Rattus norvegicus: one gene and its partner. The protein of the gene in region 2 purifies or fractionates together with the protein of the main gene of each other region. This does not show direct contact. Links are inferred from orthologs where the notes say so. Each region holds a gene or a part of one and is shown on either strand. Other genes may lie near its edges. The genes, in order: Slc6a8 and Ociad1.

Region 1 (3,713 bases), on a different chromosome or scaffold from region 2:
CCAGCAACTGCTGGTTTTTCAGGAGTCTTGCTAATACAGGTTGGGGCTGCTAGGGACCACAGCCTTTTAGAACTCTGGCATGAGACCCTGTAGGACCTCAATGGGCTTAGCCATGCTGAGGCACAAATAGTCCTCAGATTTTTATTATTTTATCACCTGGGGGATGGGTGTGACCTTAGGCATCAGGGTACTCAGGATGGTGCTGAGGGCCAGTCTCACCCTGCATCTTTGCACTCAGGGCCTGGTCTAGCCTTCATTGCCTACCCACGGGCTGTCACACTGATGCCTGTGGCCCCACTCTGGGCTGCCTTGTTCTTCTTCATGCTGCTGCTGCTCGGTCTGGACAGCCAGGTTTGCAGGAGCTCTATCTAGGGCAGGAATGGGGTAGGGGCTGGTGGTGGTCAGGGGATTTGGCACATTGGGCAAGTGGTGCACGGGGACATGGGGACCTGGGCCTGAACTGCCCTGGCCACAGTTTGTAGGTGTGGAGGGCTTCATCACTGGGCTCCTGGATCTCCTCCCGGCCTCCTACTACTTCCGTTTTCAAAGGGAGATCTCCGTGGCCCTCTGTTGTGCCCTCTGCTTTGTCATCGATCTCTCCATGGTGACTGATGTAAGTGGGGGTAAGGTGGGTTACTGTCAGTTTCCACCCATGGACCATCATCTTCCCTGACCTGACTCTGTTCCTCAGGGCGGGATGTACGTCTTCCAGCTGTTTGACTACTACTCAGCTAGTGGCACTACCCTGCTTTGGCAAGCCTTTTGGGAGTGTGTGGTGGTGGCTTGGGTTTATGGTAGGTCAAAATGAAGGGCTGGGTTAGAAATTGTGGGTGGAATGAGGATGGATGGTCTCCAACTCTAGCCTTCCTGTCTGTTCCAGGAGCTGACCGCTTCATGGACGATATTGCCTGTATGATTGGGTACCGACCTTGCCCTTGGATGAAATGGTGCTGGTCCTTCTTCACCCCACTGGTCTGCATGGTAAGGCTAGGGAAGTGGGCAAGTGGTGTGGGGTAGTGGGGTAGTGGGGCCCCAGTGACTGCAGGCATCTGTGTCCATAGGGCATCTTCATCTTCAATGTTGTGTACTACAAGCCACTGGTCTACAACAATACCTACGTGTACCCATGGTGGGGTGAAGCTATGGGCTGGGCCTTTGCACTCTCTTCTATGCTCTGTGTGCCCCTCCACCTCCTGGGCTGTCTCCTCAGGGCAAAAGGAACCATGGCAGAGGTAAGGTTCCTTCCTCTTTCCTCAAAGGAACAGTCCATCACTCGGAAGCATGGCCAGCTCACATTGGTGGGGGCAATAGGTGGAAGGAAAGTTGACCCATTATGGCCTCATGTGGTAGCAAGGAAGCAAGACCCACATCTCACTTTCCTGGCTCCACACAAGGACTACTTAACCCTGCTTCCCATTACAGGGAGCAGGGCCTGAAAAGGGTGCCCATAGGGAAGCACACCTGTCTCAGTGGCAGATAGTAGGAGCTAGAGAGGTGGAAGCAGTTGCATGTGACCCATGGGAAGTTCAGCATGCCCTCCTCTCCCACAGCGATGGCAGCACCTGACCCAGCCTATCTGGGGCCTCCATCACTTGGAATACAGAGCTCAGGATGCAGATGTCAGGGGCCTGACCACCCTGACTCCCGTGTCCGAGAGCAGCAAGGTCGTCGTGGTGGAGAGTGTCATGTGACAGGCACCCCCAGCTCACATCACCAGCTCATCCTTTGGTAGCCATAGCAGCCCCAGCTTTAGCCCCCACCCATCCCTCGGGGGCTTGCCTTTCCTTGACAGTTTGGGGATCTGCCTGGGGAAAGGGAGGAAGCACCATGAGTGCTAACAAAAACAACTTTTTCCATTTTTAATAAAACGCCAAAAACATCACAACCCACCAAAAATAGATGCCTCTCCTCCCCACCCCACAACTACGCTGGTATTTTCGTTGCTTCCAGTCCCCACCTCCTTTCCTTCTTCCCAGTGCCCAGGACCCATCTCCTAGCCTTGCCAAGCCCATCTGCCTGCCTCCCAAGCTCTGCTCTGTAACACACCTTTGCCCTAGAACCAACAGTGGCAGCTTGGGGAACAGGAGAGGAGGGAAAATAACAGTAGGACAGGAGGGGAGGCAAGAGAGGGACAGTGGAACCAAGGTGAATATTTCAGCTCAATTAGAACTCTTCCCGCCCCTATTCTAGAAGCTAGAGAGCCAGTCAGCAATGGAACCTTGTGTTCCTGCGCCAATTGCCACCAATATTAATTGTGTGAGCTTGGGTCTGAGTGCACGTCTGTCTCTGTGTGATGTGTGTGTGTGTGTGTGTGTGTGTGTGTGTGTGTGTGTGTGTGTGTGTGTGTGTGTGTAGATCTCTTATCTCTTAGTGAAGGTGAATACCAGAAGTAAACAGAGCCTCTGGGCAAAGGAGGCTTATATTTTGCACATTTTATAAGAAAAAAAAACTTGAGAGTGAGACTTCTGCTTGTATATTTCTAAAAAGCCCCCACCATCCCCCATTTCCACTCCTTTCCTTGACATCCCCACCTTCTCTGACCCTAGCCAAGGAGTGTGAATTTATAGACTTAATTTTCATAGGCAAAACAAAAGCTTCAGGCTGTTGAATATGTGAGTCTGTTTGTGTGGATGTTCTGTATGGTCTCCAGCCAGAGACTGGAGTAGGAAGGTGGGAGCCTCAATGGTGTCCCCACACTGTTCCTTTGCCTCTAAGTCTGTGGGGTAGAAGGCTGTAACATTATCCCAGGGAATCTGGGTCTGCTCACCTGACATGCTCAGACTTGCCCACACCCAGCTCCCTGGGCTGGGCATGATTGCAGGGATTTCCCATGGACATAGCCCAGGGAAGGGATCCTGGGTATGGCTTCCACTTCCAAGCTAAAGGCTGATGTGCTTTCGACATCTCAAGTCTTCCGTGTAGCAGCTTAAACCCACATCTGTGTCCCATCAAGCCTGAAACAGCCAAGTAGCCATTAGAAAGGCTTTCTTCACACAGAGCTGGACTAAGCCAGGGAGGTGGGGCTGGGTAAGGGTGCAAGCCTTTGGGGACATTCTTACTGTGCTAAAAAAGCCACTGCAAACATAGCAATAAAAACACTTCATTTTCCAAAGTTGGCTCCTGTTTCTGCTTCTCTGGAAGAGGAATGAGGTGGGGATGCAGGTGTGGGAACCAGATGAAATGCTCAAAGCCAAGTCCCAATTGTCCCCATCACAGGCCCTGGCAGCACCAGGCTAGCATTCACTAAAGCCCATTCTGAGCGATTCTGCACCTAGTAGCATGTCAGAAACTGAAGCAGGGAAGGAAGCCTCAAGCCCCTAGACTGAAGAGCATGGGGGTGACAGTAAGTTGAATAGGAACAAATGCAGCAGAGAGAGTCTGTAGCTATAAGTTATTCCAAGAATTTTTCTAAACCAAGCATGGTGGCTCATGCCTATAAGCCCCAAACTTGAGATATTGAGGCAGGTGAATCAAGAGAGTATGTTTCTGAGCAAGTAGCCTTCCAAGATCTAAAAGTAAAGGGTACACTAGGATCACAGATAGTAAGAGGTAAGCTGGGGCAATGATCCAGGGACTAGGCATCAGCACCTGGACCTGTCTGGTGGCAATGGAGTTGGGTGGGGGAGGTTCTTTGGATTGGGGTCTTCTTTCCTGGCAGGAACAGAAGGGACTGTGGATGACTACATGATATAGAATTGAGGAGTCAAGATAAA
Region 2 (4,511 bases):
ACAACAAAATTCTGATCTTAGGGTTGGTAGTCAGAAAGCGAAATTGTAGTGAGTAACTCCTCACTACAATGAAAGGCAACAAAGGCAGCACTAGTTATGACAGTCATTAAATGTAAGAGTTAAAACCCAACCAAGTCTGGTTCAGACACCTGACTTCAAAGCACAATGACTGTGTAACACAAGTAGACACATTTAATACCTCTAAACCTTAGTCCTTTCATCTCTAAAGTGAGGGTACTTAACAACTCTACTAAATTATTTTCATGCTATTTTGCTACTGACAAAATTGCTATTCAATTTCCTGAATCTCTATTAGTAATAACCACACTATCCCAAAAGTGTCCCGATGTAGTCTATAATAAGTTATAACTTCAAACGTGAACTTAAGTCAAGTTTGTAAGTGAAAGTTTTGGATGGAATTATGCTAATTAGAAAAATGATGAACCAGGGCTGAGAGATGGTTCAGTGGTAAAGTGCATGAATTGCAAACCCCAGGATCTGAGTTCTGATCCCTAATATTTATTTAAGGAGTCAGGGCTGGGCACCCCAGTACTGAGAGGCAGAGACAGGCAGATCCTGAGGGCTCACTGGCTGGCCAATTTAGCCAAATGGTGGAACTCCAGGTTCAGTGAAAAAACCTGTCTCAAAAATTAAGACGGAGCCAGGTGGTGGGGCAAGCCTTTAATCCCAGCACTCGGGAGGCAGAGGCAGGAGGGTCTCTGTAAGTTGAGGCCAGCCTAGTCTACAGATCGAGTTTCAGGACAGCCAGGGCTACAGAGAGAAACCATTTCTCACCGCCCGTTTTTCTCTATGCCTGTGCACATACACAGATACCACAAAAACACCCATGCATATTCTTTAAAGTCCTTAGCAGGAAAACTCACATCTGAACCAGAAGCACTCTTCATGGCACTCTGCAAAGAGCCTCCACTCTTCTTCTGTTGGAATGTAGCCGCCCCCTATGTCTTTTAGAAAAAAATTGGAAGTCATTTTCTTAAAAGCCTGAAAAGTTAGCTTTGTCTACTAGTAACAAAAACATTAAAAAAATAATAATAAAACCATGAGACAACTGGCTTGTCACTTTTTAAAAATCAATTTTGATTTCCTACAAAATTTATTCTTACTACCTGCTAGTCAGACAGGCTGGACACGGTGCTAAATGAAAATATGTAAAATGAACCCCCACCCTTGTTCAGATGATAAGAAATTTGGAGACTGTAACAAGAGAACATTTAAGCTCTGTGTATGACTATAAGGATATCACACCTATAAAACCAGCCCAATTTCTACCGTTACTCAATTACTCAAGCAATTAAAATTTCTCTACACAGAAAGGGTTACCAACTGTAAATACTTAATATGATAGTCACCAGGAATTGGTCTTGACACTTGTGCATTCGGCTCCCGAAAATCTGCCCTCCCATTCATAGTTCCTGTATCAGAAACATTTATAACCAAATATTACAAAGTATCAGTATAAATATACATAACCGGTCTATCTGTAAATTAATAAATATTTACTTAACATTAAACACTCTTAAATTAATCTTATTTTACATGCACGGTGTTCTGCTTGCATGCCACAGATATGCCTGGTGCCTGAGGAGATCGAATGGCACGGGATCCCCATGACCTGGAGTTGCAGATGGTTGTGACACTGTGATAGGACATGTGGGTACTGGGAACAGAAGCCAGGTACTCGGGAAGAGCCAGTGCTCCTAACTGCTGAATTCTTTCTTCAGGCCCTGACCTTTACATTTCAACTACATAAGAAAATAACCGAATGAAAAAGGGTCATAAACATATTATTTGAACTAATTATTCACATTCGCCCCTTTAATAGAAAAGCGGGTATATAAAAACAACAGGCAAAATTTCCCTTCCAAGGCTAGGTTATTTCACATTATTTTGTACCTTGATTAAAAAACAAAACAAAACAAAAAACCACAACTATGTCCAAATGATTGGGGAAAAAACCCTCAAGTCACTTCTAGGTTTCCAATGAAAACAAAAGTACATTGTCTCTCATAACTCAGCAGTCAAAAATAATGACGTCACATTCTCTGCAGGTAGCTACTCTAACGGCAAAGTCTTCCAAACTTTCCCTACCAGGCCAAATAATCTTCAAATAACTTAAATAAATAAAAATTTAAAACCCCAGAGCAATCCAAGATCATGTATTGATATTCATCCATCTTCCTCTGAACTTAGACGTCAGCATTTCAGATAAGGAGGATTTCTTCGTTAAAACACATTGCCGCATGAATTACACGCTGCCGACAGCAAAGCATCTTTCTGTAATTCGTTTAGTGACTAAAATCATCACCTACTGCATACCTAGATCCCTTAGAGAAAAAGGTTTCGTAAAAGGTAAACTGAACTCTGGGTAGATAAAGCACTCAGAGGAAGCTTCTTAAACTGCAAAACCCTACTGGAAAAAAATTAAACCTCATCGTCCCCAAGGAGGCTGGAGGGCAGTGCGACCTGTCTGAACACTACAGCTCAAAGCTAGTAATTACAAAGGACAAGGCTCAAGAGAAGCTGGGGCCGTAGACCCCAGCACTCCTGCCCAGCACCTGCCACCCCACCTCGGCCACCGCGGCTTTCCCCACCCCTCCATGCAGGTCCCGGGTGCGAGTCACCGGCCGTGCAGCCGAGCCAAGGCCCGCAGTGCGACCGGACACCTCCAGGCAGGAAAATGGCGGCTGCGGGCGAGTGTGGGAGACTGGCAGAAAGCTGAAACTGGCTGCGCCATCACACCTACCTCACGAAGGAGGCGGCAACGCGGGGAGCAAGACCCGGGGTACAGGCCAGGAGAGGACCCCAAAGACAGGCACGGAGGACAACGCGGGAAACGGGGAGGGGAAAGAGGGCAGCTTCAAAGGGCTCGCCAAGATGTCACCTAGACACAAGCGCCAGCAGACCGAGACCCGGAAGCAGTACCATCGACAGGAAATGATGTTAGACAGCTCTGGGGCACTGCCGCTGGGCAGTCTCTCAATACTCGTGTGTCGGCCACGCCCCGTCCAATTAGTTCCGCCTCCTTTCACGCCCCACGCCCCTCCTCCCAGCCACGGCGCTCCAGAGCTGCACTGCGGCTGCGCGAGTTATGGCCTGCCCCTCCGCTCACCCTTAGGTTCGATGCTCTTGTGACATACTCCTATGACTGACTGTTCAAAAACATTTTGGAACCCCCTCCATCCTCGAGTCCCCTCCTTATCCCATGACTTTCCTTGGACTTGCCTAATTTTAAGCTCTACATAAATTATCGTATGCTTTAAGCCTCTAGGCTAGGTAGTGAATTTTAAGCGTGAACGCGTAGTTAACTGTCAGAACCTCCAGTCTAGTGTCTGATTGATTCTAAAACCGGAGTCAGGATACACTCCAACGCGGAGACTCAGAATTTACTCATCTGAATAACAGAAATAATGTGAAAACTATGAAAGTTTTGGATTAAAACAAGTCTGAAAAGGAGTTTAGGCTCTCTTTCAGACTGTATTAACAGCAAACTATATTTTAACGCTAGGAGACCAGCTTTTCATATCAGAGATCAGGCTGCCACTCCTTACACTGATCCTAGGCACGTTTATTGAGTGCGTATGCTGAACCAATTACTGAAAGTTTATCGTTGATACCCTCTGAACAGCGATAGCCCACCCTAGTTCTGAACTCCTATAGTCGTCAGATTTCTCACCATTCCTTATTTCATACTTTTTTCCCCACTGGCTCTACAGCGTCCACAAACTTGTCTGTACACATATGTAATAGAGAAAGTCATGTAAAGCATGAATTCAGAGTCATGGCTAGGCCTCTATGCTTCTTGAACCCCACACTAATGAGGAACACCCTGTTTTGTTTGCATTCAACTGTCCGTTGTACTGTCCAGACCAGGACCAGGCACAGAGTTGTAGATTGCACTGTTTGCAAACCCTGTGCTTGTACCACTTCCTTTGTGAAACCTGAACTGCACCAGATAGTCCTGTTCCTCGGTGTTCATGAACTTCTAGCACCGAATGGTAGCTCTGGCTATTGTGGTATTTTGTTGTCACCGTTTCTTTCTCTCACTGAGGTCATATTGAACAGCTTTACAAGTATTTGTACTCTCACATGTTCTAAGACAATCGGTATAAATGTTCGTTTTCCTGTGGTGAGTTATTCTGAGTCTAGGACCTTCGAAGTTTCTTTTTTCCCCTCAAGGTATGTTGATGTTACCACATCCAAGATGCTTTCCTCCCTGCCCAATTAAAGTGACACTCTAGTCACCTTGTGTGTTGTCTTGCTTTTTCTTTTCATAGCATTTTCTGTGACCTAAAACAATTATTTGTGTGTCCTGTCTCTATCTTTCCCCACCCCCTCACAGAAATAAAAGGTCCGTGAAAGAAAAGAACCATACTTTTCTAGCATCAAATTGATTCTCATATAGTATAAAGTCAACAATATTAAATCCTTTAATGAATATGTTGGGTATATTTTTATAATATAAAAACATATAAAAGGAAATTAGAAGACAG

What was found.
Region 1: the proteins of Ociad1 (region 2) and Slc6a8 purify together in Homo sapiens (co-immunoprecipitation; 3 studies listed by BioGRID and IntAct, with this or other methods). This does not show direct contact. The link is inferred for Rattus norvegicus from reciprocal best matches to the Homo sapiens genes OCIAD1 and SLC6A8.

Annotation. Positions count from the first base shown.
Region 1 is NC_086039.1:156,542,210-156,545,922, forward strand, and holds the end of Slc6a8 (sodium- and chloride-dependent creatine transporter 1), read left to right. Parts: intron 1-238; coding exon 239-351; intron 352-475; coding exon 476-613; intron 614-691; coding exon 692-794; intron 795-880; coding exon 881-981; intron 982-1,061; coding exon 1,062-1,232; intron 1,233-1,550; coding exon 1,551-1,691; 3' UTR 1,692-3,112; downstream 3,113-3,713. UniProt on the Homo sapiens protein: Creatine:sodium symporter which mediates the uptake of creatine. Plays an important role in supplying creatine to the brain via the blood-brain barrier.
Region 2 is NC_086032.1:35,266,355-35,270,865, forward strand, and holds the start of Ociad1 (OCIA domain-containing protein 1), read right to left. Parts: upstream 2,921-4,511; 5' UTR 2,765-2,920; intron 1,434-2,764; 5' UTR 1,429-1,433; coding exon 1,371-1,428; intron 966-1,370; coding exon 885-965; intron 1-884. UniProt on the Homo sapiens protein: Maintains stem cell potency. Increases STAT3 phosphorylation and controls ERK phosphorylation. May act as a scaffold, increasing STAT3 recruitment onto endosomes. Involved in integrin-mediated cancer cell adhesion and colony formation in ovarian cancer.